4 linked regions of the Elephas maximus indicus genome follow. The protein of the gene in region 1 binds, or shares a complex with, the protein of each later gene. Links are inferred from orthologs where the notes say so. Each region holds a gene or a part of one and is shown in the gene's direction. Other genes may lie near its edges.

Region 1 (7,694 bases):
AACTAACAACCGCTACCACCTGAAATGCTCATCTCCCAGACCTTTTATATGACTCGTTCCCTCACTACATTCATATCTCTACTCAAATGTCAACCCCCTCAAAGAGACATTCCCTGTCCAGCCTATCTAAAATGGACACCTCTTTGACCCTGCTTAATTATTCTTTATAGCATGTACCGTTCTCTGAACATATGCATGGGTTTGTCTCTTCCACCAGCATGTAAGTATAGACTTGGTTATCTTGTCCCTTGCTGTATATCCAGTGCTCCAGCCCGGGGCCTACCACATGGTACCTATAAACCCGTTGCCATCGAGCCAATTCTGACTCATAGCAACGCTATGGAACAGAGTAGAACAGTCCTATAAGGTTTCCAAGGAGTGGCTGGTAGATTTGAACTGCTGACCTTTTAGTTAGCAGCTATAGCTCTTAACCACTACGCCACTACACCCAATAAATATTTTCTGAATAATTACTACATGAACGAAAACTTAAGATCATCCAACTGGCAAGTGGCAGAGCCGGGACACAAAGCCAGCTGTCTGGCCCTAAAGTCTCTACACTTAGCCATTGTACCAGGCTGGACTAGCCCAAAGAGATCCTGGGAGGTTCAGACAGAATAATGAATGTGAAATCACCTTGAAAACTGTTAAGTGCTTGAAAACAGCAAGGGATTATCATTATTCTGTTTACTGTTTGCTCATCTATGGAATGGGGATAATAATACCCTGCCCTACTGACTTTATAAGGATGTTTTGTGGGGTTCCAGTGAGATAATGGTTGGGGAAACATTCATAAAAGTTAAAGGCTCTATATCATGGAAGGAACTCTAAAGATTATTTCCATGCCAGTGGCTTCTCTAGGCTCCCATCCTCTGCTTCAAGTTTGACATTAATATTGCTGACAGCCGAGGGGGAGGTGAGGGAGACTCGAGGGACCCAGGGACTCTGCGTCCCAGTAATTAAACATGTCGGGACTGAACCACTGCCAAAGGCAGCATCTGGTTGCAATTACCAGAGGGGACCGAAGTGATTAGTCACCTTTATAGTGAGAGCCAGGCAGGTCCCCTGGGCTCCTCCCTTGAGAAGCCCTTCTAACTAAGCTAAGAGTCCTCTTACCCTGCTCCTACCCATTTCTAGGGATGCCCTGGTCCTCAGGCAACAGTCTCTAGCTGAGACTGTTCTATGTCCCCAAAGTCCCAGCCCACTGAATGAGTCCTTCATTGAAAATCAAGAATATTGTAGCTGCCTCCCCCTCGCCCCCCTTTCAGTTCTTCTTGTGTTTCTAGAAGCCAGGTTAAGATTCTTAGGTATGGAATATGCTGAAGTGGGAGTTAGGCTAAAAATAATTTAACCTCTCTGAACTTCAATTTCTTCATCTTTTAAAATGGGGGTATTAAGGGTGCCTTCACCATTTTTTCACCATAGGGTTGTTATGAAGATAAAGGTAAAAATGCAATGAGAAAATAGGCCAGAGTCTAGTTTACTACAATAAATGTTCGGTAAGTAATAGCTATCATTATCATTTGCCAGGTGCTAGGCTAAGAAAATTGTATTTTACGTGCACACAGCTAATTAGGTTCCCTTTTAACAATTTTTATACAAATTGTTCAATACCATTGGTTACAATTTTTACAGTGTGTCAGCATTGTCATTATTTCCATTCTGTTTGTTCTGTTTCCATTGGTCTAGCTTCCCTTTCCCTCCTTGCTTTCTCAATCTTTGCTTTTGGGTAACTGTTGACCGTTTGGTCTCGTATAGTGAACTGTTTAAGGGAGCATATTACTCACAGGTGATATTGTTTATTTTATAAGCCAATCTGTTATTTGGCTGAAAGGTGATCTGCAGTAGGCTAATCACTTTTTATGATTCATTAAATTGTCACAAAAACCCTGTAAGTACTGTCATGATCCCTGTTAGAGTTCCAGAGAGGTTTAGAGACTTCCAAAGATTGAACAATGGGTAAGTAGCAGAACCAGGCTTCAAGATCAGGTTTGGTGGTCTCTAGAGCCCTTGCTCTTTTTCAGACTATGTGCAGGGACATCTTATTTGCTTAACTCCTTCCTTCATTCTTCACTCAGGCTTACAAAGTGCCTAATAAATAAGCTAGGCAGAATCCCTTTAAAAGAACTCAGAGTCAAACGAGAAGGCATGATATGTCTGCAAGTAACTATACTTTAAAGTAGAAGATGGTGTCTTTTATATATAAGGGCCAGTTAGAGTTTCATTCATTCATACAGCACATACTGAGAATCTGCTATGTGCCGGGCCTTGTGCCAAACACTGGGAATAATGATTTCAATGAAAATATTGAAAGAGAAATAAGGTACAGTCTAGTCACAATCTAATGGGAGAGATATATAAATAAATTATTACAGTTAAAAGGAATTAAGTTGTGATTTTAAAAAAATAGGAAAAAAGTGCAGACAGAGGGAGAAACGAAGTGTGTTAGAGACAGGAGGCAGCAGCAGACTGGATAATCATTGAGCTGCCAAAATGAAAAGGGGCACGGGACATATGTGGCGACAATTCAGAAGGAATGTGCATTGGCTGGGGGAGGGAGAGGGCTTCACGGAGGAGGTGGCTCATGAGTTGGCTCTTTTGCAGTGGGTACGTTTTAGGTAGAGGGAGGGTTGCAGCAGGAAGGACCTGTGGAAACAGGCCTAGCCACTCTGACAAGGTGCAGTTCCCAAGGATCTCTGCTGGGGGAGCCATTGAGAGCTGGCTTGGGGAGAGATCCTGGAGGCTTAGAAGCCAGTTATAGTAGGACAAGGGGGGAGGAGGACTGAGACAGTGGGGGAGGCAGTGGTTGGAGAGGAGGGAGAAATGCCAAAGATACTGGATATGACTGGTTATGTGGGTCATCAGTGAGGTGCCAGTGAGATAATGGATGGAGAAACAATATCAAAACATCAAAAGAGAAGCCAAGAGTTGTGAACCTGGGTGACTGGAGTGACAATAATTAATTCAGCCTTTCTTTTAGTTGTTAGTTGCCATCAAATTGGCTCTGATTCCTGGAGACCCCGTGTATAATAGGATAAAATGTTGCCCAGTACTGTACCATCTTCATGATCATTGGTATGAGTCTATTGTTGTAGGCCATCCCTAAAGCTCCCCCGAAGAGTGCCTGGTGGTGCACTGGCTTTCACAGATAGGGCAGTGAAGTTTCCTGATCTAAGACTACCAGAGGAAGCTTGGAAAATGGCCGAGTGGTGCTTCTGTGCTCGGATAGCCTCTGAGGACCTGGGGACGTCACTGTGAAAAGACTGGTCAGGCAGCCACTTGGACACCCTAGGCACCGGCTGGATCTTATTTCATTCATCAAATACTAAGCTTCTGGTCTAGGCTGGGCTAGGTGGGGAAACCAATCTGGTGACCTTGGAGTGCAAATAGACCTGTTAGACAAGCTCGGAGAATCTCAGATTGAGAAGGAAGCCTACCTGACTACTGCTTTCTACTGCTGCTGTGACTCTGACAATGTGACAAGTGCTGTAGAGAGATGTACAAGTGAGAGTGATTGGCGCTGTCTGGGGGTCAGGGAAGGCTTCCCAAAGGAGGAGAAATTCAGCTGAACTTCTCAGAATGAGAAGGACTTCCTCCAGTTGTGAGAGTGAGAGAATGATATTCCAGGTGAAGGGAACCGTTTCCTCAAGTGACTTGTGGTGAGTTGCCCAAAGGGTCTGTGGGGCAGTCTCCCCAAAGGAAGGGGCTTCAGCATTTCAATAAGGCACTTGAAGAAACCCTTGAGTCGGCTGTAATTCAGACTTCTTCCAGAGCTACGAGAAAAGCAGTATGTGGGAAATCTTTTTTCCAGCCTCCTGAAGGGGCCGCTGCTGCCCCAGCTTGTGGCTGCTGCCCCAGCTTATGGCTGCTGCCTCTGGACTCAGCCAGTCCTTTCCAAGAAAACTCTGAGGACGTCTTTGCTGGGGTGATGGTAGGGTACACCCTAGACCTGCTTGCTCTGAGGAGTGGGCTCAGGGGTGGTAGTGCCCCTGAGCCTGAATAAATAATCTGAGCTCAGTCAATGGCATTTGTGGGGGAGGGGTGTAGTGGGCATTGATAGTTCCCTGTCTCTGGGTCACCACAAGTTTATTAAAATAAAAGAAACTGTGGGTAAATGCTGCCATCTGTGCTATCCCCCCCCCCCCCCCATCAAATCAGGCCCCAGACTAGACGCAGGGGCTATAACTGCTTTGAAAACACTCCAAGGACTTAACTGAAAACCCAAACTCCCCGTGCTTCTGGGGCTTAAGATCCTTGAGTTCATTCCTCAGCATCTCTCCTTAGGAAGGTGGGGTGGGCTGTTCCGTGGGGTAGAGGTGAAGACCCCTAAGTCTGCTCCACGGACTGGGAGGCCCCTAAGTCTCAAGTCCCACTGCGGGGCTCTGTGCCAAGAGCCCCCGTGAGCCATGGCCTCGAAAGGGCAGCAGTGATTTTTTTCACATAAATATATCGCACTTAAATGAGTTTAGACAGCATGACATCAGAGAGTAATTAAATTGGTTTGGGTTGGAATTCCGTTTCCAATTCCTGAGTTCAGGTTTGTAAAAGATTTTTCTGAGCACCTGCAGGCCTGTGTGTTTGTGTGTGTGAAGTGTTTTCACTGGAAAGGATTCAAAACTTGGAAAAAAAAAAAAAAAACTGGAGCACACAGGCAGCATTACGCCATTCTTCCTTCTTGGAAAAATCCCTCAGCCTTATACAAGCCTCCTTCAAGCCCTCAGTCAGTTGTGCAGGAGAAAGGGGGCGGTCGGCTTTCTCCTTTCAAGAACGAGTTATTTTCAGCTGCTGACTGGAGACCGGTGCACGTCTGGATACGAGAGCATTTCCACTATGGGACTGGATACAAACACACACCCGGCAGACTTAAAGAGTCTCAGACTGAGGAGAAAGCCTTTCCTTCTGCTGCTACTGCTGCTGCCGCTGCTTTTGAGGGTCCACTCCTTTCATGGTTTTTCCTGCCAAACCAGAGGCACCTTCGCTGCTGCTGCCGTTCTCTTTGGTGCCATTCAGCGGCTGGCCAGAGGATGAGACTCCCCAAACTCCTCACTTTCTTGCTTTGGCACCTGGCTTGGCTGGAACTGGAATTCATCTGCACTGTGTTGGGTGCCCCAGACTTGGCCCAGAGACCCCAGGGGGCCAGGCCAGGATTGGCCAAAGCAGAGGCCAAGGAGAGGCCCCCCCTGGCCCGGAACATCTTCAGGCCAGGAGGTCACAGCTATGGTGGGGGGGCCACCAATGCCAGGGCAAAGGGGGGCAGTGGGCAGACAGGGGGCCTGACACAGCCCAAGAAGGGTGAACCCAAAAAGCTGCCCCCCAGATCGGGTGGGCCTGAACCCAAGCCAGGACACCCTCCCCAGACAAGGCAGGCTGCAGCGCGGACTGTGACCCCAAAAGGACAGCTTCCTGGGGGTAAGGCACCCCCAAAGGCAGGATCTGCCCCCAGCCCCTTTCTGCTGAAGAAAGCCAGAGAGCCCGGGCCCTCTCGAGAGCCCAAGGAGCCGTTCCGCCCGCCCCCCATCACGCCCCACGAGTACATGCTCTCTCTGTACAGGACACTGTCCGATGCTGACAGAAAGGGAGGCAACAGCAGCGTGAAGTTGGAGGCTGGCCTGGCCAACACCATCACCAGCTTTATTGACAAAGGGCAAGGTGAGGGGGCGGGGTCGAAGGGGCATGGCTCTTGAGGGAGGGGCATTGGCCGCATGGAGGGGCTTTCAGAGCCCTGACACTGCACTGTTGGGAGACGGTATGTGCATCTGGCCTGGGGTGGGTGTCTGGGACTTGCCTCATACGTACCAGATCCTGGGCTGATGATACGTCAGAGCTGGAGGGCACGTAGGGATCGCCAAGACCAATTCCTGCAAGATGCAGAGGGGGTCACTGAAGCCCAGAAAGAGACGAGACCTGCTCAGGGTCACACAGCCAGCCGTTGGCAGACTTGAAGACCAGACTCCAAGATCCTTGATTGCCAAGCCATGCTCTGTACCTATGTGCGTTGGCTAAACTTTCCAGGCTCCAGGGGTTTGTAGGTTTTCTCAGATGGCAGAGAGAGAAATGAATTTCTAAGTGGTTTCTCAACTTTGCCCTCAGGTTAGGGGGCAGAGGAGGCAGGGTAGGTGAAGACAGTAAATGGGGCATCTTGGAGTTGTGGAACTATGTTTAGATGTATTGGGAGGCAGGAGACCTAGGGTCTAACTCGCGATGTGACCTCGGGAAAGCCCTTTTCCCCTGAGGTCTCAGTTTGCCCATCTCTACAGCTATGTAGAGGTTGGGATGGAAGATTTCCGAGAACCCTTCAAATATGAAAACTTTATGTCCTGTCCTGACAGTGGAACACAGATAATTTTCATCATTAATCCAGGATACCTGTTTCTCTCATTTCTCCCCTGCCCACTGGGTGTTAGTGTCTTGGCTGCTTTTCTAAACTTGCTGTGTGATTTCAGCAAGTCCTTTCTCCTACCAGGGGCTCAGTTTCTCCATAAGTGTGAAGAGGGGGTTAGACCAGCAGACTGGTAAGGTTGCTCTCAGCTGACATGCCCTGCTTCTGGAAGTCTTAGGACTTTGGCTGGCGGGGTGGGGGAGGGGTCAGAGAGTGGGAGAGGCTCCTTATTAGAGCTGGCCTGTAGGGGACTGATAGGGGGTTGGGTAGGGGAGGCACCGAGGCAGCAGGTCTGGCTGAGGTGGGGGAGGTGGCCTGGCTGTCTGCCCAGCCAGGGAAAGCTGTGACCCCTTGGGGGCTCATAAAATAAGTCCTGTGCCCCCCAACACTAAGGGAGTTTGGGGAGGGGGGATGGGGGAGTTTAAAGGCCTAATTAGTTAGCTTCTAGAGAATATATGAAAGCTCCCCGATAGTAAATTGGAATTTTGGAAGGAGGCATGCTGATTTGTACATACTATGGAGCCTTGTACACACTCAGTCTTACAGTTTTTCACAAATACAGAATCATACACATACACACACACAGAGATACTTCTTACATACAGGGATCATACACACCCTTGAAATGTTCATACAAGCCCAATTATACATACACATAAACACCACATGCATTACCCTTCATATTCGCATATGAGCCCAATCATACACACACACACACACACCGTCACATATACACCCTCACACACTGAATAGGGTAAAACACATATACAACAAAATCATTAGACTGGGAGGTTTGGGGAAACTGGACTGTAGACCAGTTTTGTCATTAATTCACTGTGTGACCTTTAAGCAAGCCACTTGCCCTCTCTGTGTCTCATCTATAAAGCGAGAACACCAGGTCTCTTTTAAGTATAGTAGAAGCAGCTCAGGATTAGATATAAAAAGTTCTAGGCTACAGTTCCAACTCTGGTATTTTTCTAGCTGGGTGACCTTGAGCAAGTAACCTAACTTCTCTGAGCCTCAGGTTCTTACTCTGTGAAAACTGGGGAAATGATAATACCCACCCCACCTACCTTACAAATGAGGTATCTAATTAGATAATGGCTGAGAGAGGGATATATAGAAGGTAGTTATAAAAAAATTTTTTTTTTTTAGTTATAAAGTTAATGAATCTCTGATAAACATAGATCATTGACAAAAGCACCCAGAATCACAAAGAACCACTCAGATCGTCGATAGCCATGTCTACAGATAAACACCCCTACTTGGTCTGCTGGGTAGGAAGATCCTTCATTTCGAAAAAGGCTCTCAGCCG
Region 2 (7,792 bases), on another chromosome or scaffold:
GCTTACGGGAGTGCAAGATGTTAACAGGAGAACCAGTGTGCAGCTGGAGGAGGGAAATGAGAACTCTTTGTACTTTCTGCGTTTAAGTTTTATGTAAACCTAAAATTACTCTAAAAAAATAAAATCTATTTTTAAAAATGTTGCAGTATGCCAACGTTCGTTGCAGCGTTAGTCACAGTAGCTAAAATTTTCTCTACAGATGAACGGATAAACAAAATGTGGTATACACATACAGTGGAATATTTTCAGCCATAAAGAGAAATATACTTCTAATACATGAATGAATCTTGAAAACATTATGCTAAGTGAAATAAATCAGACAAAAAAGGACAAATATTGTATGAGCCCACTTATATGAAATAGCTACTCTAGGCAAATGCACAGAGACAAAAGCTTATCAGTGGTTACCAGGAAGAAGAAGAGAAGGGGGGAGTATTGCTGAAGGAGCACTGAGTTTCCATTTGGAAAACTTTCAGAAGTAGATACTGATGATGTACGCATAACGTGGTGAAGTAGTTAATGTCACTGAACTATACACTTACAAATGATTAAAACGGAAAATTTTTTGTTATATACTTCAGCAGAATAAAATTTCAAAAAATGATACAGATCTACACATTATTGTTGTTAGCCGCCGTTGAATCAGTTCCGACTCATGGTGACCTTAGGTGTAACAGAAGGAAACATTGCCCAGCCCTGTGCCATCTTCATGGTCACTGGTATGTTTGAAGCCATTATCGTAGCTATTGTGTCAATTCATCTCATTGAGGTGACTTGGTCTTTCCTGATGGTGTGTCCAAAGTAAGCAAGTTGAGGTCTAGCCATTCTCAGATCCAAGGAACATTCTGATTGTATTTCTTCTAAGACCAATTTGTTCGTTCTTTTGGCAGTCCACAGTACATACAAAATTCTCTGCCAACACCATAGTTTGGATACGTTGTTTTTTCTTCTATCTTCCTCTTTCATTGTCCAGGTTTCACACGCATAAGAAAACCGAAAACCTGTTGCTGTCAAGTCGATTCCAACTCATAGCAACCCTACGAAGTGACCGAAAAGATCACGGCTTGGGTCAGGCACACATTAGTCATCAAAGTTACATCTTTGCTTTTGAAAATTTTAAAGAGGCCTTTTGCAGCAAATTTGCCCAATGCAATACGTTGTTTGATTTCTTGACTGCTTCCACGAACGTTGACTGTTGATTGAAGTAAAGTGAAATCTTTGACAACTTCAATTTCTCCTCCATATATCATAATGTTGTTTATTTTTGTGAGGATTTTCATTTGCTTTACAAGTGTAATCCGTCCTAAAGGCTATAGTCTTTGACCTTGATCAGTGAATACTTCAAGTCTTCATTTTTGGCAACCAAGTTCGTATCATCTGCATATCACAAGTTGTTAATGAGTCTTCCTCTAATCCTGATGCCCTGTTTTTCATACAGTCTGGGTTATTTGTTCAGAATACAAATTGAATAAGCAAAGTGAAAGGATAAAACCTTGCCACACTCCTTTTCCGATGTTGAACTGCACAATATGCCCTTGTTCTGTTCAAATGACTGCCTCTAGATCCATGTACAGGTTCTGCGTGAGCACAATTAAAAAAAAATTAAGTGTCCTGAAATTCCCAGTCTTCAAAATGTTATCCATAATTTGTTACGGTCTACACAGTCGAATTCCTTCACATAGTTGATTACCAGAAAGATGTTTATTTGTGTTTTTTTTCTTCTTTTGGCCAAGATCTATCTGACATCAGCAATGATATCCTCTTCATGTCCTCTTCCAAATTTGGCTTGAACTTCTGGCAGTTCCCTGTTCATGTACTGGTGTAGCTGTTTTTGAATTGTCTTCGGTAAAATTTTGCTTGCATGTGCTATTACTGATATTGTTTGAGAATTTCTGCATTCTGTTGGATCATCTTTCATTGAAATGGGCATGAGTATAGATCCCTTCCAGTCAGTTGGCAAAATTTCTGTCTTTCAAGTTTCTTGACACAGATGACAGAGTGCTTCTAGCGTTACATCAGTTTCTTGAAGCATGTCAATCAGTATTCTGTCAATTCCTGTGGCCTCGGTTTTGCCGATGCCTTCAGGGCAACTTGAACTCCTTCCTTCCGTACCAGAGATTCTTGGTCATATCCAACTTCCTGACATAGCTGAATGTGAACCAATTCTTTTTGGTATAATGACTGTACATATTTCTTCCATTTTCTTTTTATGCTTCCTGCATCATTTAATTTTTTACCCACAGAATTCTTCAGTATTTCAACTTGAATCTTGAATTTTCTTTTTCAGTTCTTTCAGCTTGAGAAATGCAGATCATGTTCTTCCTTTTTATTTTTCTAACTCCAGGTCTTTGCACATTTATATACTGGCATGAAAAGCTGTCCTAAATATATACTAAGTGAAAAAAGCAATCCAGCATGCTTAACGTACTTTTATTTTTTTTGCAAATATATGTTAACATATGTGAATTTTAATAAAAGCCGAAATATACACGAAACTCTTACTAGTAGCATTATCTGGGGGATAAAATGGCAAGAGGTTTTCACTATCTACATTGTGAAGCTCTATAATATTTGGAATTTCCCTAGTCAAATGTGTATTAGTTCTGTAATCAGGGGGAAAAAAAGCTATAATAAATTAATGAAGAATTTAAATAAATTAAATGAAGGAGGTTGGACCTAATTTGGTAGGGAACAGTGAATCACAGGTACATTGTGAATTTTGTGAAAACTTAGGGGATATTTACAAAGCGTAAATATAAAAAAAATCTTTTGCAAATATCTGTTGCTGAAATAGCATTTTCTCTCGGTAGAAAACAATAGCACTCTTCCCATTTTCTTTTATTTTGGAAAATGTATTTATTTTTCATAAAACTGTTAATCATTTTGTCATGCAATGAATTTATTGTTCTTTTTAAATGAAAATTAGTTTCATTTGTGATAAATATTGATAGATGTAACACACAGAAACAAAACCTCTTTGGAGTCCTCAATAACTGTTAAGAGTGTAAAGCAGTCCTGAGACCAAAAAGTCTGAGAAGCTTTGATCTATGGCATCACTTTTTAATGGCTGAATTTATCCGTCTCCCTGGAGTTTTTTTTTTTTCCTGGAGTAGCCCCTGTGGTGCTCCCTCCTCCATATTTCCCATGCTAAGCACCGGGCCAAGCACAAAATAAGAACCCCAGTAAGATTTAATGAAGTACTGATAGGGTTGCTATGAGTTGGAGCCGACTGGAAGGCAATGGGTTTGGTTTGGTTTGGATATAAGCTTGGAAGGCTCTACCATCGGCAGTCCTCCTTCAGTAGGTCTCAGGTGGACCCCAGAAACCTGCGTTTTCATTAAGTCCTGCCTCTGACGTCAAATAAAAGGGTTCAAGTGTCCTGTCTGCTACTTTATTGGCTAGGCTACTTAACCCCTCTGTGCCTCGGCCTTGCACGTCTGTAACTGAATAGACAGACACCTGCCATCCAGTCAACTCTGACTCACCGCCACCTTGTGTACAAGTGTTGCCTGGTCCTGCATCATCATCACCACTATCGACATGTTCAACAACACCATTGTGACTATAGTGCCGATCCATCTCGCTGAGGGCCTCCCTCACCCTCACTGACCATCTTTGTCACCAAACATGATGTCCTCCTTCAGTAATTGATCTCTCCTGGTGATGTATCCAGAGCAAATGAATTGGGCAATGTTCTGCTGTGATTCATAGGGATTTTGTGCCTAAATTTTGGAAGTGGATCCTAGTCTGTCTTAGTTTGGAAGATCTGTGGTTCAAACCCCTGCCAAGAATTTGCATTTCTAACAAGTTCCCTACAGAGAATATGCATTTCCACACCCTGACATACTGAATCATAATCTACATTTTAACAGATTCCCGGGTGATTTTTATGTATAACTTCCTGGAAACTTGTTAGAAATGCAAATTATTAGCAGGGGTTCGAACCAGAACAAACCGGCTCCAAAGCTTGATAGCAACACACGAGCAACCACAGTATGACGCACTGAGGAATGTTCATGTCTACAGTGATTCAAGTCTATACGGAAAAGAACCAAACCCAGTGCCGTCGCGTCGATTCCGACTCGTAGCGACCCTATAGGACAGAGTAGAACTGCCCCGTAGTTTCCAAGGAGCGCCTGGCGGATTTGAACTGCCCACCTTCTGGTTAGCAGCTGTAGCACGTAATCAGTAGGCCACCAGAGTTTCCTTCAAGTTGACAGTGAGCTAATAATAACCTCTCAGGTGGCTTCAGTGAGCTCCTGCACGTAACAGTCTCAGCGTAGAGAACAGCGCTTGAACCCACCGCCGTTCAGTCGCTATGGACTCAGCCACCCTGGAGGACAGCGCCAAACTGCCCGCAGGGTTTCCAAGGCTGTAAATCTTTACCGCGGAGTGGCTGGTGGGTGCCACTGCTTTAGCCACTGCGCAACGACGGCTCCCGAAGAGTGTTGGTCACAACGCTCTACAGAGGGTACTCGGAGAAAAGAACCTGACAGGAAGGGTCTGCTGGGGCCTAGGTTATGAGACCAAGAAACTCGATCTGAGGTGAGAAACAGAGTCCAGGAAAGGAGCGGTGAGCAGCTCCCCACCAGGGTGCGCGTGGGAAACCCCGGGGGCTGTGCCCCTGGGGAGAGGGGCAAGCTTGGGCGCTGACGAGCCGGGGGTGGGCCTGCGCGGCGGGCGGGGCGGGGCCGCGGCCGGGGCGGGGCCAGCGCGGCGGGCGAGGGGCGGGGCCGCGGCCGGGGGCGGGGTGGGTGAGAGACTCTTACTGGCGGGAGCTGGCGGCGGCTGGGCCAGAGGGAGTGGCGGACCGGGGCGGCGGGCAGCGGCCGGGCCTGTCCCTTTCAAGCGCTGGAGGCTCGCGGGCGCTTCGCGGAGGGGACGGCGCGGAGGCGCGGCCTAGCCTTCTGGCACAGCCTGCGCGGGGCTCGGTCGGAGCTGCCCGGGGACGAGCCGCGGTGAGCGTACGGCTCGGGCTCGGGCTCGGGCTCGGGCTTCGGGCTCGGGCTTCGGGCTCGGGCTTCGGGCTTCGGGCTTCGGGCTTCGGGCTCGGGCTTCGGGCTCAGGGTGCGGGCGGGCGGGGGCTCCGGCGCGGAGTCGCGCCTGCTCCTCGCGGCCTGGCCGCCGACGGGGGACAGGAGTGGGGTGCTGTCGCTTGGGGTCTGCGGGGCCGGGCCGGGCGCCGAGAGGCCGGGCAGCATCCCCGGGCCGGGCGCCGCCTCGGGCCGGCTGGGCTGCGGCGAAGACCGCCGGCGTTGTGCAGCGAGCGCCGTGGCCCGGCGCCCCGCGGGCCGCAGCCGAGGGAGCAGACGCCGGGCGCCCGGGCTTGGGGGGCGGCCGGGCTGAGGGGGGCGGCCGGGCTCGGGGGGGGGGCGGCGGCCGGGCTGCGGGGGGGGGCGGCGGCCGGGCTGCGGGGGGGGGCGGCCGGGCTGGAGGGGGGGGCGGCCGGGCTGGAGGGGGGGGCGGCGGCCGGGCTCGGGGGGGGGCGGCGGCCGGGCTCGGGGGGGGGGGGCGGCGGCCGGGCTCGGGGGGGGGCGGCGGCCGGGCTGGAGGGGGGCGGCGGCCGGGCTGGAGGGGGGCGGCGGCCGGGCTGGAGGGGGGCGGCGGCCGGGCTCGGGGGGGGGGGGGCGGCGGCCGGGCTCGGGGGGGGGCGGCGGCCGGGCTGGAGGGGGGCGGCGGCCGGGCTGGAGGGGGGCGGCGGCCGGGCTCGGGGGGGGGGGGGGCGGCGGCCGGGCTCGCGGGGGGGGGCGGCCGGGCTGGGGGGCAGCCTCGCAGAGCTGGAGGATTCTCTTGCCTGGTTTGCACATGCCCACGTCAAGAATGAACGCGTTTTCCACTGAGATCTTGGGAGTAGCATTTGTTAAACACTTCACAGGACAACCGTTAAAGGTTTTTTTTTTCTTTCCCTTTTTTAGTGGTCCTTTTTGTTGGCCTCCACAAATCATCCGACTTGGTGTGTGTTGTTAAATTACCGAAATTGAGGTGCTAACGGTCTTAGGGGAATGCTTCTCGGGCCCAGTAACAATCCCCAGGGCTTTCTCTTTCCACATTGAGTCATACCAGGTACTGAGCCCTTTATTTCATCGCCTAATTGCTTTTGCTTTATTGTGCTTGGTTATACTTAGAATAAAGGTTTAAGGTAATTGTAAAAGCATAAACCCACCTTTTATCCTTTGATAAATATTCATTTATTTTAATTATCTTTTGGGTGTGTGTTTTAATCCCAAGGAGTTGTATCTTCTCCTGTATAAAGTTTAATAACTGCGTTGGCTATTTAACTGCTGTCAGAATTTGTGCTGGTCTCTTTTTCTTTTTTAACTGTAGTATCTTGGTAATACCTTAGAAGAATCTATGGTACTAACAGAATTAAAAGAGTGTCTTTGTATTTTAATAAATTATCTAGAGTTCTTAATACAATTAATAATATATTATCTCCTTTGTTATTTGCTGAATTATTTAGTGTTTGATTTTGCAGACTCCTTTCTTTGAGCTGTTTTATTCTGGCTGACTTTGTTGGGAGACAAAATGAGATAGTCATAAATAATCACTACAGGAATTTGCATTTAAAATTTGTTTTAATTGTAAGAATTAAAACGTTGTTAAATGTTTTAAAGTTATAGTACAAAATTAGTAGTTTTTATATGGGGTTAAAGTTGAGTAAAAAAGCCCCCAGGCCCCCGATTCTGACACACAGGTCCCATAGGTCAGGGTAGAGCTGCCCCATAGGGTTTCTAGGGAGCGGCTCGTGGATTCAAACTGCTAACCTTTCCATTAGCAGCCAGTGCTTAACCACTGCACCACCAGGGCCCCTAAAGTTGGGTAAACCGATTGCTGTCGAGTTTGTTTCAACTCATAGCAACCCTATAAGTCAGGGTAGAACTGACCCATAGGGTCTCCAAGGAGCGGCTTGTGGATTCAAACTGCCAACCTTTTGGTTAGCAGCCAAACGCTTAACCACTGCACCACCAGGGCCCCTAAAGTTGAGCAAACCCATTGCTGTCGAGTCTGCTTCGACTCATAGCAACCCTATAGGTAAGGGCAGAACTGCCCCATAGGGTTTCCAAGGAGCGGCTGGTGGATTTGAACTGCCATCTTTTTGATTAGCAGCTGAAGGCTTACCCAGAGTAGTGGAGCTAAAGCTAAAGCTAAACAGTGGCAGTGCAGTTTTGAAACTAGTTATTTGCTTGATATACTCTCAGGTTACTTAGGGTTTAGATATAACTATAACTTCCACAGTCACTGTTTCTGAGTGGTCTGAGGAATTTTAGTACCCTACGTCTTGAAAAATAGATAACAAGACATTACAATATAAAATTGTTGTTTATTTTCTGAGTGTTTAAATACTCTTTCATTGAGAATGATTTTAAATGATCTCTCAGAAGTCTTTTGCCACAAACAAGGTGTCTTGGTTTATTGGTTTTGTCTTTCGTTTTTGTATTTGGTTTTACCCTAGCACCTGTCCTGGAATTAAAGTTTTGTTTTTCTTTGTTTGTTTATTTAGCTTCCTGGGAGTTGTTTATTGTCTTCTGTGAAGAAACATGAAGTCACACTATGTGGTCCTGCTTACTCTAGCCATCCTGATGTTCCTGATGGGGGTCCCTGTGTCACTGAGTTGTAACAAAGCGCTCTGTGCTAGTGACGTGAGCAAATGCCTCATTCAGGTAGGATGAAGAGTACCTTTTTAAAAAATGTTACAGTGTGGTGAAGAGCAGATAAATTTGAGGCCTGACGTATTATACTGTGACACGCTGGTCTGGATACAAGCAAGGTCAGACACAGGATGTTCAGAACC
Region 3 (7,995 bases), on another chromosome or scaffold:
GATGGAAGAGACTCGTTCCTCGAACACTCGTGGGTTTGTTTTTTTAGTAACACACTTAACCCGGGTCTTAAGTGTCTCCCCTCGTTCTTCGCAAACGTTTATCCCAAGTCTTCTTAAGCTGTACGCTCGAGTCACATTGGCACCTTAGATGGGCAGGAAAGACCGCTGGATTGCTTACTTGGACAAAAGTCCAGAGGATCGTTCCGGCCCCCTCTCCCATATTTATACACACTAGGAAAAACCCCAAAGATCATTTGTAGAGAGGAAGGTGTGTATTTTGTGATGCTGGTGGACAGACAGCTAGAGACCGGGGAAGGGAATGCAGGGCGGGGGCGCATCTGTCTCCTAGCCGCCGGGTGAGAACAGCTAGCACGCTCCCTACCTCCCTGCCCAGGCGACCGCTGGCATGGTCTCCGGCTGGGAAAAGGCAGCGTGGCGGGCTGTGAGGACCGCACGGAGGGTGGCGCTGGCGGCGTGAAAGGCGTCTTTGTGCAGGATGAGAGCAGGTGGGGAGTGGTGGGAGAGGTTAGCGCTGAGCAGGGACCTCGAGGCGGGGGTCTGAGGCGCAGCTACACCCGGCAGCCGCACTGGAACGTTCCGGGTGGCAACGGCAGGGGGCGGTACGGCACTGGCAGGATCCAGGCCCGGGGCCTGACGTCCCTGCTCTGTTTGGCTGTCTTTGACTCAAGAGGGGGGAGAAAGCAGCTTCGAGGAAGCGGGTTTGGGAGGGGGGGGATTAAGAGACTTGCCTCCCGCCCCCTTCCCTAGGTGGCGGAGAGCTTGCGCTGGCTGGAACTGCGCAGCTGGTCGTAGGGCGCTCGCTCCGGAGTCTGGGACAAGGGAGAGCGGCCTCCAGGCAGAGCCCCCACTCGCCCCGGGCACCGCGGCCCCCACCTGGGGGAGAGGGGCGGGCGCGGTGCTGCCCTCCCTCTGCGTCCTGGCCGCGTGGCTTGTGGCTTATTTTCCCAGCTGGCAAGCGTCGCGCTGCAGACAAGGGAATGCCTGTGGTGAGTTGTTTATTTTTGTTGAAGTTTGCGGTGGGCCGGGGGACGTGGGGGGCGACCGGCAGGCAGCGACCGGGACTGTTTTGTTTAGGTCTCCATCCACCTGTGTGGTATAAATCTGCCAGCCTCAGGGCGGTGGGGGGCCAGGGCGAGAAAGCCCTGTCTCTCCAAAAGGCCCCTTTTCGCCACTTGCAGACCTGGGACCACTCTTGATTCTCCACGCCTGGAACCGGCTAGATCCTAGATTACGCTGCCCCTATGCCCACCCGCCCCCCCATCAACGCTTCCTGCACCCGTTGCGGACAGGGCTGGCGATCCTAAGGGACCTGGGGAACAGCTGGCCATTGAAGCTCCTACCGGGTGCCCTTCCCGGTTCCTTGAGGGGAGGAGAGTTGAGATTTTCATGTGATGGGGCGCCTGTGAAATTGGTGGGAACTTGTTCTGGCGACTTCTCCTAGAGCTGCGTGAAGTTGGTTCAAGGGTGTCAGTACTACAAACTGAGATCCCGCGTTGGCCAGAGTGTCCTAAACTTGTGGGGAGGGGGTAACCAGTTGGCTCCTGGGGAGCCCAGAGGACCCTTCTCGGGAGGGCGGGGGGGGGGCCTGATGACAGTCACTGCTGCGGCTGCATTTGCCTAAAAAAAAAAAACCCTAAATACATTAGAGAGCTGGTAAAGCTTTTAAGGTCTTCTTGGGAGTGAGTGGCTGGCTAATGAGAGGTTAATTTTGTTTCGAAGGGAAGGCTGCGCTGGTTTCCTGAGATAAATGGACAGGAAGCGCATTACCTCCGCGCGCTGGCAAGCGGCTCCCAAATGCTTTTTGCACCTGCCACTTTGAGCCGTGCGAGCCGCGGCGGAGCCCGCAGGGATCGCGGAGGCCGATTGTGTACGTGCGGGTGATGAGCCCCATGCACGCTCCGGACCCTCTCCCTCTGGGGGCACAGCGCTCAAGCCGGGCTCTGTTCTCTCACACTCAGGTCTTGCGCCCCACGATCCCGCAGAGACCCCTGCAGGAGCGGAAGGGTTAAGAATGATGTAAGTACAAACCGAGAGCTGCTTGCCGCCGGGTTGTCCGACCCCAGGCTGTTTCAGCCCCTGCTTTGCGAACACCGTGGACAGGGAGCCCTTATTCTAGAATCGGTTGCACTAACCAAGACCCTGGGTCTGATTCCCGGTTCCTCTGACACAGGAGATGTGTTAAGCAGACAGACCTTCGTGTAATCTGGAAATGGAGATACATTAAAAAAAAATAATAATAACAGGGGTGCAATTAAGACATCGCGAATAGGTTCAGGAAAAGAAACCACATCTTGTTTAGCATCCATTTAAGATTCTGGCATGTGTTTTAATTTTATCCACTTGCATGTTCATACAGTGGCATGCTTTCCTGGGTTCCCTGAAATGTCCTGCTCTGATCTCATCTTTCCTTCCTGAAAACAAAGACGAAGGAAGAGAGTACAAACGGCAAGTAACAGGGTGGATTTGTGAGTTGTAAAAGCCATAACTCACGACTTTTTTTTTTCTGATTAAAATGTAAAACGTGTGTTTAAGTCATCGATTTTTTTTTTTTATTGTGCTCCAGCTCCCTCCCCAGACTTTTATTTGTAGAGTCTGAAATCCTCCTTAATCTTCAGCACAAGAGTGTAAGGAGTGGTTGCGCTATAAGCGACCATTCGCCGTCCTCTTCCTTTTCAAGATGGTTCTGATCTAACAGTCCGAATTTACCCCGCAAGGGTCAACTGATCTAATGTCTTGACACTTGAAAATAGGAACCACCTTGTGGTTTAATTGTGAAAATTAGCATTTTCCTCTAGCCGGCTGAACACTTATGCAGCAATAAAAAGTAAATTGTTAGGCTTATAAATCTTGGGCTTGTCAAATTTTCCAACAAAGGACCAATAATAAAGCACCTTAGAGGAGATGAAGTTTTTTTCTCTTAAGAATAGTTCCGTTTTACCACGCCAGGATTTGTAGTGACCCAAGGGCGCCCTCTATTGATAAGAAAATCTACAGCTCCCGTGTACTTAAGGAACAGGATATGGGGAGGAGGGGACGGTAAGGAGAGAGGAAGGGGAAAAAATCACGGAAAGTCACAGGCAAAAAACTCACACCAAGCTGTATTTATCCTTGACTCTGATTATAGGTTTTGAAGTATGGCCAGTAAGGTGGGACGATTCTTTCATAAGGGTCGAATTAAAACTTGGGTTAAGGAAAAAGAAATCGCATTTTACTGTCAGTCCTTGTTAGCAAAATGCTTTGAAAAACAATGTTCATATTTGATTAGTTTTGAAAGTTTACTAGTATTTTATTAACTTTATTATGTGTAGTAATTGCAAAAAAGTAAAATTTAGCTTTAATAGTATTTAGTCCATAGTATTTTTTTATTATCAAAATCCTATCTGATGATGCCTCCTCTAAAAAAGTCATTTCTCCAGGCAACTCTGAAGCTATTATTAATTATATTCATATTATGAGTATACACAAGGCTTGGATTATATCTTGGACACCAAAAGGTATGTTTACCACTTGAGTCATCGTTGTATGTAATAAGTAAGCAGTGAAAAGTTACAGTAAAAATAGGTAGACATCCTTTGTTGGGGACCTAGTGGTTTGAGCAATTCACGTGTCTAATGCGTGAACTAGTGGGACCGGAGGATTGCCCTCTATTATCCTGGTCTGTAGATTATTGTAAAATGTGCAATATTAACGTGTCCGTGGTTGATACGGAATTCCTAATTAGAGATTCTGAGTAATGTAGTGTCCGTAAAGCTGCATACAGCGATTTGGATGTAAGTGGATTTAAAATGGCAGCCCTGAGCTGTCTGGGGAACAGCAAAGGCAAGGGTAGTGTGAAGTGACTTCTAGTTTTGAGACCATTCTTGAGATTAGATACCACTTCACACTTACTTACAACCAAATTGGACCCTATCATCAATCTCACAGCTGCTTTACTGTTTCTCCACTTGGCAGCCGCTTTCCTGGAAGGCAACTGGGTGTTTTATTCCCCCCCCCCCATTTTTTTGGACACCTCCAATATCAAAAATAAAAACTGACCTGCCCTTGAATTAATTTGCCAATAGAACAGTGGAAATTTATAGAAAAGCCACTGAATAACAAGTCGTGGTATAATTATTCTTCACTGCACAAAATCTCACCTTCATTAATCTAATTATACTGTAACCTAACACCTTAAAGTTTGCCCACTCCCAGACCCCTCCCCGCCGCTTTACAAAAGGGAAAATATCAAAGAAACAAAAACACCAAAGCTTCATTCAGCTACTAGCGAATTCCACCAGGAGCTCGCGGACACCTTCCCAGTCCCATCCGATCTGCCCTGGACTGCGGGTAACATTCTGATTTCCCAAGCGGCTCGGTGCTTGTTTTACACAACGTCGCATCAGGCTCGGAACGCGGTCCCGAGAAGTGATAGGCTGCCGGAGACCTGCCGCAAGGCGCTCCATGAAAGTGCCAATTTCCTCCAAAGAGCTAGAGCCGGAGTAAGGGGGCGGAGGGAGTGTAATCAAAAAAAAAAAAGAAAAGAAAACCTTGAAGGGAAGTTGAACTCTACCACATTAATTCAAGGAGAGGTCAAAGGCCGGTTTTTTCGTAACGCCGGCGAGGTACAGAGTTACCGTCGTCTGTTTCAATTGGGTGCGAAGAAACAGTAAATCGCGAAGTGGGCGGACGGAGAGAAGGGGAGGGAGAAGGACGGGGTAGGGCCCGGGCGCTGTAGACTGGATCCGCAGTCGGAGGCCAAGGAACTCGAATTACAAGGAGCAGGCGGGAGGCAGGAGGAGGCGTAGGGGTGGGCACTTGGGGCCCTGCGAGTGGCGGGCTAGGCCCGACGAGCGCTCACAGCCAATGGGGCTGGAGGGAGGGGCGAGGCCGGGGGCGGGGACGGCGTGGATTGGTGGGCTCGGGCAGGGCGGGGCAGCAGTGCGGGTCCGAGATTGATTGACCGCGGGGGGCGCCGCGCAGAGACACCGAAGCCGCCGGCGGCTGCTCTCAGTAGCGGGGTGCGCCTCCCGTTGGTCCACGCCCGCGCTCACGCCCTTCGAGCCCACGCTGGCCGGGGCGCCCGCGTGCTCTGGGCGGCACTCGGCACTCGCTCACGGTCTTTGTGTCTTCTCTCCCGTCCCCCTCCCCGCGCCCGCCGCGATGCCGCTGCGCCCGGTTGCCGCCGCCGCCAACTCGCTCCACCCGCGGCGCGCTGCTCGCTCCGGCGGTGGCGGCGGTCTGTCTCCGACGCGGGCCTGAAGGAGGAAGAAGAGGAAGCGAGGCGCGCCCCCCGGCCCATGCAGCAGCCACGGCCGCGGATCTGCCACGGCGCCCGCGCCGCCGCCCTCGTCGGAGCCCACGAGACCTGCATGGACGGGCATGGGCTTGAGAGCAACACCTTCCTGCGCCGCCGCCGCCGCTGCCGCCGGGGCTGAGCAGCGTCGCCGCCCCCGGCCCTGCCCGCCGCCCCTGGCGCTGCTGCTGCTGCTGCTGCTCAGCCTCGGGCTGCTCCACGCAGGTACGAGGCGTGCGGGGGGGAGCCAGCCCAGGTCCGGGAGCTTTGTTCCCAAACAGCCTCCGGTCCCGAAGCCATCGCCGCGGCGGAAGACGGCGTGGCGGACGGGAAAGGCCTGCCGAACCCTGGCACGCACCTTAGCGGAGCTCGCTGCCGCCGGCGGGCGGCGCGTCCTGGGCGCCTGAGAGAGGCCCCTTCCCTCCCGCCCGGCTTTGGCACCTACCGCTGATAAATCTTCCCTTCAACAGCCGCTTATCAAAGATCTGATGGGCGGGGGCTTGGGCTCTGCGCGCCCGAGACAAACGTTCCGGTTGCTTTATTGCTCTCTGCATTGGTGTTTACTGAAAGTCAGGCTCGGATCAGGTTTCCGGCGCCGCCGCCGCCTCCTCGGAGGAGAGACTAGGAGCCTTGTGCTGCTTCTCTGGAGTTGGGGGAGAAAGGGGTGGAGGCGAGGCGAAGGAATCGCACCAGATGGAGAGATTTTAGCTAGAGTTTCAAAACCTGTGGGTTAATCTCGAAGTATAACCAAAACTTCTTTTGAACAGGGATTTCCTTCGTATTTGCAAAAGCTGCTTTTAATTCTTCTTTCAAGCTCTCTGGCAAAACTCGTGCTTTGTGGCTAGCCGCGTGTTTTCGGGATGTGGGAGAGGTTGACAGATCTGCTGCTTTCTGGAGGTCGGCGCTTTCCTTGTGGAAGCAGCAGTGTGCAACCTCTTTAGCGAAGGGAGCCTGGAGATGAGCCTTACAGCCTGTGGTACTTCCTATTTTCCTTTTAAAAACGTTCCGTTGAAATCTAGGGCGCTCTTGACAAAGCAGTGTACCACTTCTTTTTAGAAGTTTACGTAGACAGAGAATTTTTTGTAATGCCAGAACTGAAGGGGAAACATCTTCTAATTAGACAACAACCAGAACATGAGGTAAATTTATTTTTCTTCGAGGTGTTTTTGCCCTGTATTTGTTTGACAGCAGTCACGGCGCTCTGATCTGCAGAGTCCTGAACTTTCATGCCCCCCAAACCCCGATTATTTATAAATGATTAAAAATGGAGTAAATTTTATTAAGTCATACCAGGCGTGCTAAAAATCAAGGAGGTGTTTTAAGTAGAGGGAAAATGTGTGGCATCTGAGGAGACAACTTCTTTTACTTTGCATGTGGCGTAACAGCTGCATTTTAACACTTGTCACTTGGAGGAATATAGACTGAAGTCTTAAAGTGCAATAGCAAGTTTTAGAAAGATTAAGGCTTTTAATTCATGGTTTTAGAACCTTAGAAAATAATGGCTGTCTGCTTACAGTTACATAGAGAATGTTTCTTGATGTATCAAGATGTATCCGGCGTGTTTTGTGTGAAAAATGTATGTCTATAGTACCCAAGTATAGGTTTTGTGAAATGGGAATTGAAATGTTAGGCAGAAGTGTTTCCCCTTGGCTACTTGGATATTGTTTTCCGTAGTTGCCATAGGCTCCTATGACAGGATTGGAATGTGGTCTTGAAGATTTCTTTGCTGCCCTGTGAAAGCTTAAGAAGTTGGTTTAAAGATTTAAAACACTGAGGTGCCTTAGTTCAAGAGCTTGGAATTTGAAACTCTTCTTAGTATTTCAGTGTGTCCTCGACTAAACTCACCGTTAGATTTAACCTGAAGTTGCTGTGTTGAGTGATTTCTATGGACAGCTTGTTGGAGTGGAGCAATTGTTCTGGTTATAGAAAAGGGCTCTTTTTCAGAGATTTCTTTAAAGGGGGATGTTATTGAAATGCAGGGGTTGTCTCCTCAGAGCAGGGAGCCCAGCTGAGTGCTCTTTGCAGATGGACTACCATACGTTTTATGCCGGGATCTGTATCATTTGCCTCAGCACCCCATATGGCTCCACATTTCACTTTATCCAGCTTTAACGTATCTCATTTCTTCTATTATAAACTGGTGATTGTACTGCACATTCACACGTGCGGTCCTGGTGTTGAGAAACACCATCTTGAATGGTGAAGCTTTTATGTTTGAATCACGAGTGAGAGCTGTAGACTCACAAATCCTTTAGCACTTTCATTAGCTGCAATGAAAATATCACATTGATCATAGATGACCTGATTCATGAAATAGAGAAATCTGAGCTGCAAATTTTGAATCCTACCCTTGGGAAGTGGAAAGAGTGCTTTTATTTACCTTTTTTTCCCCTCTTAAAGCAAATCTCTGCAATTTCTGGTTGGAAATCCCGTATGGGAGTTACTTGCTTACTCATACAAACTTCATGGCCTTTTTGGCTACATCTTTGTAGTTCTTTCTGCTCTGCATTGTCTTGGCATTCTGGCAAGAGGTTTACTTTACTGCCTGTAACAGGCAAAGTGTGCATTGTCATTATAAATTCATGAAGCCTGGATGTTTCTGGGTGTATACTGCAAATTAGTCATACAGGAGCTTGCAATGGGGCTGAAACTGCTGACCCAAACAACACTTTCTCTCTCCAGTTTGTCCTTCCCCCTCCTGT
Region 4 (6,770 bases), on another chromosome or scaffold:
TACACAAAAAGCAGGATAAATTTTGAATGTTTCACATTACTAGCAGTTTCAAAATAATGAGTTGATCCCTAGCATTCTGCAATGATGATCAATGAGTTTTTGTTTTTAAAGTACCATTGTAAACTTAGAGATTTGAACATATTTGATATGTCTCAATCCATTGTAAATATTATTCCTTTTGATGCTCAAATTGCCCCCACCTTGGCCAGTGGGACCTATTCTAGTTGGCTTCTGAGTCCTTTTGATACAATCCTAATAGTCTTTGAAAGCTTCCTTGCTTATCTTGGATAATTACTGCCCCAAACCTGAAATTAGCCTAGTTCCTTTTAGTGGAAAATGGTATTAGATAGCACAATTTGGACACTAATAGTGTTCATTGCTGTTGGGTAATTATTTCTAGGCCTTTTTTCAGGAAACATGTTCTAGGATAAAATACACCATGAATTCATAGTTAGACTTCCAATTTAAATAAAATATTACAGGACTTTCACTTAAATTCATTATTCATAAATCTCTATATCTTTATCCCATACCAAAAATTCCATTTCTCAAAGACCCTAACATTATTACTTACTTGTTTTATCCCACAATAAACCCACAATAGTTTCAGAATAACAATATCAACACTACCATCAACAATATGACTACTTTAAGATATTTTTGCATTTCTTTTATCAGTAGGGTGTACCCCACTTGGGATGTCACAATCAAATTATTGTGTTTTAAAGTCACTTGAATAGTTTGATTGGGAGCATTTTATATTATTATAATAAAACTCCTCATGATATGGTGGAGAAAAAAAAATGTGTTAGCTCCTTATACATATGAAGAGCATTGTTCAGGCCTCTAGATTCTGAATTAAATGTAAAGCCAACTGGTATAGGTGTCTTAGTGACACTATTTGGAATCAACCTTCGTGTTAATTTCACTTGGCAAGTACTAAGGGATGATGATCACAGATATGCCTAGGGCTGCAAAAAACATGACACGGCTAAATTCTTTGGTTGTAATATCTTTAAAAGGTCAAAAGATTATGTTACTCCACAAAAATATCTTTCTGAATTTCCTTTCCTCTCGGTTCATTTCTCCACATCAGTCACTGTGTTTCTGACATTCTGCTTCTGTCTCTTTCCTTTTTGTCAATAATTTTTTTCATTGTCTTTCACCTTTCACCGGCCATCATACAGAATCAAAGTACCTTTTCATCTTTTGTCACACTTATTGAAGAGTTTTATGTTCATTATTATTCTTAATTTTTAATAGGTGATTGAATTTTTTTAATGTTTTCTCTCTCTAAATTAATAGGTAATAATGCTTCTGACTGCAGAGGCTCTAGATTGATTTCCACTCCCTCTCTTTCCCTCCCCTGAGGATTAGCAGCCTCAGGGGAAAAAATTCCATCTCCATTCTGTCTTCACCTCTTTACCTTTCCTAGCCTTCTTCCACTAGCAGCTCACAAGGCTATATTCTTTGTGTATCCGTGTGGTGGAATGAGACGGAATTGCTGCCCAAGCTAAGGGAATGGGAATGGAAATGGAGGAGGTGGGGTGACAGACAGCTGCAGGGATCTGAGCTGGACAGACTGAACAAACCCTCATCCTAAACAACTCCGAGCTCAGATTTCTTCTCTGGACAGCTGGCTTTTTTCGTCCTACTAAAATACTCTGCAAAGATGGGGGAGGGGCTGTGGCTTCATCGGCCATAGATTTTATTTAAAGCGAGCTACCTCCCAGGTACTATCTATAGAAACTGAATGCAATATTCAACATAGCAGGGATGAAAGTGGTGAAGGAAATGCATCCATTTTCCCACTACAATTTTCCAAGGCCAGAAGCTCATTATCGAGAATGCTGGAGGGCTGCCTGGAGTAGGCAGCGACTATAGAGTTATATAAGCTGGAATTGGCCATTTGACTTGCCTGTCATATTTCTCCTCCTCTCCTCCACCTCCCCCTCCCCCGCCTTGGCACCTATATTCCATGTTCTCCCTAATCCTACTCTCCCCACTCCCCCCACACCCACACTCTACCCCCACCAACGTTCCTGGAATTTTGGACTTAGCTATTTTTAAAACCGTCAACTCAGTAGCCACCTCCCTCCCCCGCCCAGCTGTCCAGTACTCTGACCAGTCATATACTCCCCCTTCCCCCAACACCAAACCTTCCCTGTCTCCCTGACCTCAGTGAGATTGCAGCTGGGCTAGAGACCTGTGGGAGATATGGAGAAAGAGACGGGGGACCCCCTGGCTGGAGCTGACCAACAGAGTAGGCAGTCATGGCTGGAGAATTGGATAGCAGATTAATGTTTGACCTCTGGAAACAGTAAGTCAAAATGAAATTTCAATTGCTTTAATAAGCTTTTGGACTGAAGTTAGACTTTTGTAAAACCACAGATGCCTACTTGAGGGTCACTGGTCTGAAAACTAGGATCTCTCCCATACCAAGGTGCTTCAATCTGCATTTTTCCTTGTGTCTCTATTTCTTTCCGGCCTCTGGCCATTTGAAGCTTAATCTTCCTTCTCTCCTCTGGCAGTCTTCACTTCCTCCTTAGTTTCTACCTCTACACTTCTGAAGAAGTTTTGAGAGGAGTCCCCACACCCTCCATTCTGTGGTTTTCTCACCAGGGCCAAATTTAGCCTCTTATGATTTAGTCACTGACACCCTTCCACCCTGTCCCTACTTTTTATCAGTGCCCTTCACATTGTGTTTCCAAGGGTGTGGCTACCTCTTGTAAGTGATTTCTCCCCACAACTCTAGTCTCTCCATCCTATTCTCCCTCCTACTTGACTCTTCTCCCACATCATATCCTTACCCCAAGAGAGGAGAGTTCAGCAGGAAAGAGCTGGCCTTTCCCCAAACCCCATACTCATCAAAAGAGGGATTGAGAACTTTCTGAATTTGCAAAGGGAAGAATAATGGGAAAAGTGGTTTTTCAGTCAGGTTTGGAAAAACACAAGAACTGTTGACTCAAAAAACAACAAATAGTGATTCACATGCTTGGTTTGTTTCTCATTATTCCATGAGAGGGAGGGATTATAATTGCGGCTATCTAAAAAAAATTTTAAAAATAAAACATTGCCATTGAGTCGATTCCGACTCATAGTCATAGCGACCCTATAGGACAGAGTAGAACTGCCCCATAGGGTTTCCAAGAGCAGCTGCCGACCTTTTGGTTAGCAGCCAAATGCGTAACCACTGCGCCACCAGGGCTCCTAGAGCAGATGAAAAGGGTTGGTTCTCTTTTCATTTGAATACTGATGTTCTAGAAAAGAGACAGGTATCCTACCCTTACCCCTTCTCACTGGAAATTCTCACACAAAGTAAGAAAAGAAATGAATGGCTCCTGGAGGGTGTCCCCTCCTAATAGGGAGGGGCAAATAAGTAGTTGCTGAAGTATTTTCAGATCCTAATTCTATTGGAAGGAGCCCTGGTAAAGCAGTGTTTACGCTCTCAGCTGCTAACCGAAAGGTCAGCGGTTCCCACCAGTAGTTCCACAGTAGAAAAACGTGGCAATTTGCTTCTGTAAAGATTACAATGTTGGAAACTCTATGGGGCAGTTCTACTCTGTCCTATAGAGTCACTATGAGTCAAAATCAACTCGCTAGCACACAGTAACAGCAACAAATTCTATTGGAGCATCCACTGGGGTGACCAGGATCTGATCTATTCCTATGATTCTTCAATTTTTGACATTTTTACTGTTTGGTAGCTCAGGATGGGTCAATACAGTGGACTCTGCCCCCTGAGTCCATTCAATTTTCCCTCCACCCCCAGCCAGGGGTATTGCACAAGAGACATGAAAGTGGCCACAGCAGCGGGGCATGCAGGCTTAGCAGCCACTCTTAAAGATTGGAGAGGCCCATTCTCCCCAAACTCTGGTCCTCTCATCCTTTTCTTGATCTTCTCTGATTCTCTTCACATAACTCTGACCAATCTTCAACTCTTCTTTCTCCCCTATGCCCAGCCAAATTTCTTTTTTCAGTCCCTTACAGGACGTCTGGTCAAAATTCACTAGGTAGGAGGGTCATCAGCTGGAAAGAACCGGAGCCTGGGGGGACCTGGATGGATAGGTATGGGGGATCCAGGGCAGCCCCCTAGTCCCCGGTCCCCTTATGGCAGTCCCCCAACTCTAAGCACTCTCACTCTCCTGCTGCTCCTCTGTGGACATGGTAAGGAGGGCCAGGGAAGGGTTTGGGGAAATCTAGAGGGTAGGTCTCTGTGTAGGGGGGTGGAGGGACTACGTGAGCATGTGTGGGTGAGAAGAGACGGGTGCTAAGGAGTCCCCCCATTCTCAAGTTGGTGTATTTCAATTCTCACTCAGCTTGTGGAAGGGCACTGGGGAAGCCTTGGTCTACAGAAATGTAGCAGGCCTACACAGTTTTGGTAACGCTGAGTGAGGACAGGACTAGGTGGCTGTGGGCTGTGGGCTGTGGGCTGTGGGCTGGAGAAGGCCCTCAGTTGGGTTTTGGGAATGGCTGGAATCCCCTAATGACATGTGGGAGAGTTACAGGAATACTTGAGTGAAGTGGAGGTCTGGCAGCAGTCTCACCATCCTCTTCCTTCCGCCCTCAGCTCATTCTCAATGCAAGATCCTCCGGTGCAACGCTGAGTATGTATCGTCCACCCTGAGCCTTAGAAGAGGCGGTTCACCAGGAGCGCTTCGAGGAGGAGGAGGCCGGGCAGGAGGGGTGGGCTCCAGCGGCCTGTGCCGTGCCCTCCGCTCCTACGCACTCTGCACTCGGCGCACGGCCCGCACCTGCCGAGGGGACCTCGCCTTCCACTCGGCGGTGCACGGAATCGAAGACCTGATGATACAGCACAACTGCTCCCGCCAGGGCCCCACGGCCCCGCCCCCGCCGCGGGACCCCGCCCTTTCGGGCTCCGGCCCGGCCCGCTCCTCTGGCCCGCCAGCCCCGGACCCCTGTGATTATGAAGGCCGGTTTTCCCGGCTTCACGGTCGTCCCCCGGGCTTCTTACATTGCGCCTCCTTCGGGGACCCCCACGTGCGCAGCTTCCACCACCACTTTCACACTTGCCGTGTCCAAGGAGCTTGGCCCCTGCTAGATAACGACTTCCTCTTTGTCCAGGCCACCAGCTCCCCAGTGGCTTGGGGGGCCAACGCCACCACCACCCGGAAGGTCAGGAATTCAATTGCTCCTCCCGACCCAACTCATGCAAGCCTTTCATGGTCCCCTCAGGATACCACTCCCTCTCTATCCTCACTATTCCACCGCAAGGCTCCCTGCACCTTTTCCTTCATAACCACTCCTCCATCTTGAATCAACTTGCTCCTGTAAATCACTTTCCTTTGATGGGGATTTCACTCAAACCCAGAAAACACTAAAAAGAAAGTTAGGACAAGGAGAGTTGAGCAGCCCTGTGTTGAGGAGTTTCAGAAGGGAAATTTTTCTCCTGTGGAAGTTGCTGAGACTGGCACCAAAAAAGAAAGGGAGGGGTTGAATTGCAATGCGGCGATATTGGAACATATATAGGAGAAGGGATCAAGAAGTGAGGGCCATGATAAGCCTTGCACATAAGCCTGGATCAGATCCCTGACTATGTTATGAGGCCTGATTGGGTTGAGGAGGGGTGCTCTGATTGCAAAATGAACTATTTTTCTTCTTGTCCTCACAGCTCACCATCATATTTAAGAACATGCAGGAATGCATTGACCAGAAGGTCTACCAGGCTGAAGTGGACAATCTTCCTGCAGCCTTTGAAGACGGTTCTATCAATGGAGGTGACCGACCTGGGGGCTCAAGTTTGTCCATTCAAACTGCTGACCCTGGGAGCCATGTGCAGATCCAAGCTGCCTATATTGGCACAACCATAATCATTCGGCAGACAGCTGGGCAGCTCTCCTTCTCCATCAAGGTAGCTGAGGAGGTCGCCAGGGCCTTCTCAGCTGAGCAGGACCTGCAGCTCTGTGTGGGAGGGTGCCCCCCAAGTCAGCGACTCTCTCGATCAGAGCGCAATCGTCGGGGAGCTATAACCATTGATACTGCCAGACAGCTGTGCAAGGAAGGGTTGCCAGTTGAAGATGCTTACTTCCATTCCTGTGTCTTTGATGTTTTAATCTCTGGTGACCCCAACTTTACTGTGGCAGCTCAGACAGCTCTGGAGGATGCCCGAGCCTTCCTACCAGACTTAGAGAAGCTGCATCTCTTCCCCTCAGATGCTGGAGTTCCTCTCGCCTCAGCAACTTTCCCAGCCCCATTCCTTTCAGGGCTCTTTGTTCTGTGGCTTTGCATTCAATAAACTAGGCCAGCAATCCCATGACTAGTTTGGGAACAATTTGGCAGTATGGATTGTCAGGGAAGAACATAAACACTTAAGGAACCAGTGGGAACTTGGAGACACCTGAAACAATGGCATTTATCCAGAGTCAGATGAGGCTGTAGACCAAGGTTGAAGTGATCGCAGGATAAGAATTCTGGGCAAAGACTCTGCATTACACACTTCTCTAGGGGCTTTTCACCAAATTTCTCAGTTCTCTTTATAGTGAGCAGATTGTTCCAGTCCACGTACTCCTGAGATCATCCGTACAGGCTTAGTGGTTAAGGGGTCCTTATCAGGGGCAGATTATCCAATAGGCAAGGTAAGCCTGGTACCAACCTTTCTTACCAGATCATGTGAACAATTTCACGTCTTTCTACCACATCAAAGATTCTGCTTCTTGCTATGGCTGGCATCTGTCTCTCTCCCAACCCTACAGCACCTTCCCAAGGAATCAAAGCCACTTTTCAAATTTACAGTCCCTGACAGGGAAGGA

What was found.
Region 2: the proteins of GDF5 (region 1) and TWSG1 are in contact, whole or in part, in a crystal structure (PDB 8BWL), measured with the Homo sapiens proteins. The link is inferred for Elephas maximus indicus from reciprocal best matches to the Homo sapiens genes GDF5 and TWSG1. Residues at the interface, in NP_000548.2 of Homo sapiens: Glu434, Phe435, Pro436, Ser439, His440, Glu442, Asn445, Val448, Ile449, Leu452, Ser455; in NP_065699.1 of Homo sapiens: Cys26, Lys28, Cys31, Ala32, Ser33, Val35, Ser36, Leu39, Ile40, Cys44, Gln45, Cys46, Arg47, Cys73, Val74.
Region 3: the proteins of GDF5 (region 1) and RGMB are in contact, whole or in part, in a crystal structure (PDB 6Z3J), measured with the Homo sapiens proteins. The link is inferred for Elephas maximus indicus from reciprocal best matches to the Homo sapiens genes GDF5 and RGMB. Residues at the interface, in NP_000548.2 of Homo sapiens: Leu396, Arg399, Phe435, Pro436, Leu437, Arg438, Ser439, Asn445, Val448, Ile449, Leu452, Ser455, Met456; in NP_001353437.1 of Homo sapiens: Gln57, Thr60, Phe63, Val64, Thr67, Ser68, Leu70, Asn71, Tyr88, Leu103, Val104, Ser107, Ala108, Leu110, Gly111, Ile112, Asp114, Leu115, Gln118.
Region 4: the proteins of GDF5 (region 1) and HJV are in contact, whole or in part, in a crystal structure (PDB 6Z3L), measured with the Homo sapiens proteins. The link is inferred for Elephas maximus indicus from reciprocal best matches to the Homo sapiens genes GDF5 and HJV. Residues at the interface, in NP_000548.2 of Homo sapiens: Met412, Trp414, Trp417, Phe478, Asp480, Ser481, Lys488, Tyr490, Met493; in NP_001366281.1 of Homo sapiens: Arg95, Arg98, Gly99, Leu101, His104, Ser105, His108.

What each region holds. Positions count from the first base shown.
Region 1 is NC_064843.1:34,001,202-34,008,895, forward strand, and holds the start of GDF5 (growth/differentiation factor 5), read left to right. Parts: upstream 1-4,684; 5' UTR 4,685-5,024; coding exon 5,025-5,649; intron 5,650-7,694. UniProt on the Homo sapiens protein: Growth factor involved in bone and cartilage formation. During cartilage development regulates differentiation of chondrogenic tissue through two pathways.
Region 2 is NC_064829.1:13,965,565-13,973,356, reverse strand, and holds the start of TWSG1 (twisted gastrulation protein homolog 1), read left to right. Parts: upstream 1-4,784; 5' UTR 4,785-4,958; intron 4,959-5,915; 5' UTR 5,916-6,063; intron 6,064-7,501; 5' UTR 7,502-7,538; coding exon 7,539-7,661; intron 7,662-7,792. UniProt on the Homo sapiens protein: May be involved in dorsoventral axis formation. Seems to antagonize BMP signaling by forming ternary complexes with CHRD and BMPs, thereby preventing BMPs from binding to their receptors.
Region 3 is NC_064820.1:106,507,364-106,515,358, forward strand, and holds the start of RGMB (repulsive guidance molecule B), read left to right. Parts: upstream 1-4,981; 5' UTR 4,982-5,379; coding exon 5,380-5,518; intron 5,519-7,995. UniProt on the Homo sapiens protein: Member of the repulsive guidance molecule (RGM) family that contributes to the patterning of the developing nervous system. Acts as a bone morphogenetic protein (BMP) coreceptor that potentiates BMP signaling. Promotes neuronal adhesion.
Region 4 is NC_064821.1:157,530,318-157,537,087, forward strand, and holds HJV (hemojuvelin), read left to right. Parts: upstream 1-4,070; coding exon 4,071-4,167; intron 4,168-4,570; coding exon 4,571-5,136; intron 5,137-5,632; coding exon 5,633-6,256; downstream 6,257-6,770. UniProt on the Homo sapiens protein: Acts as a bone morphogenetic protein (BMP) coreceptor. Through enhancement of BMP signaling regulates hepcidin (HAMP) expression and regulates iron homeostasis.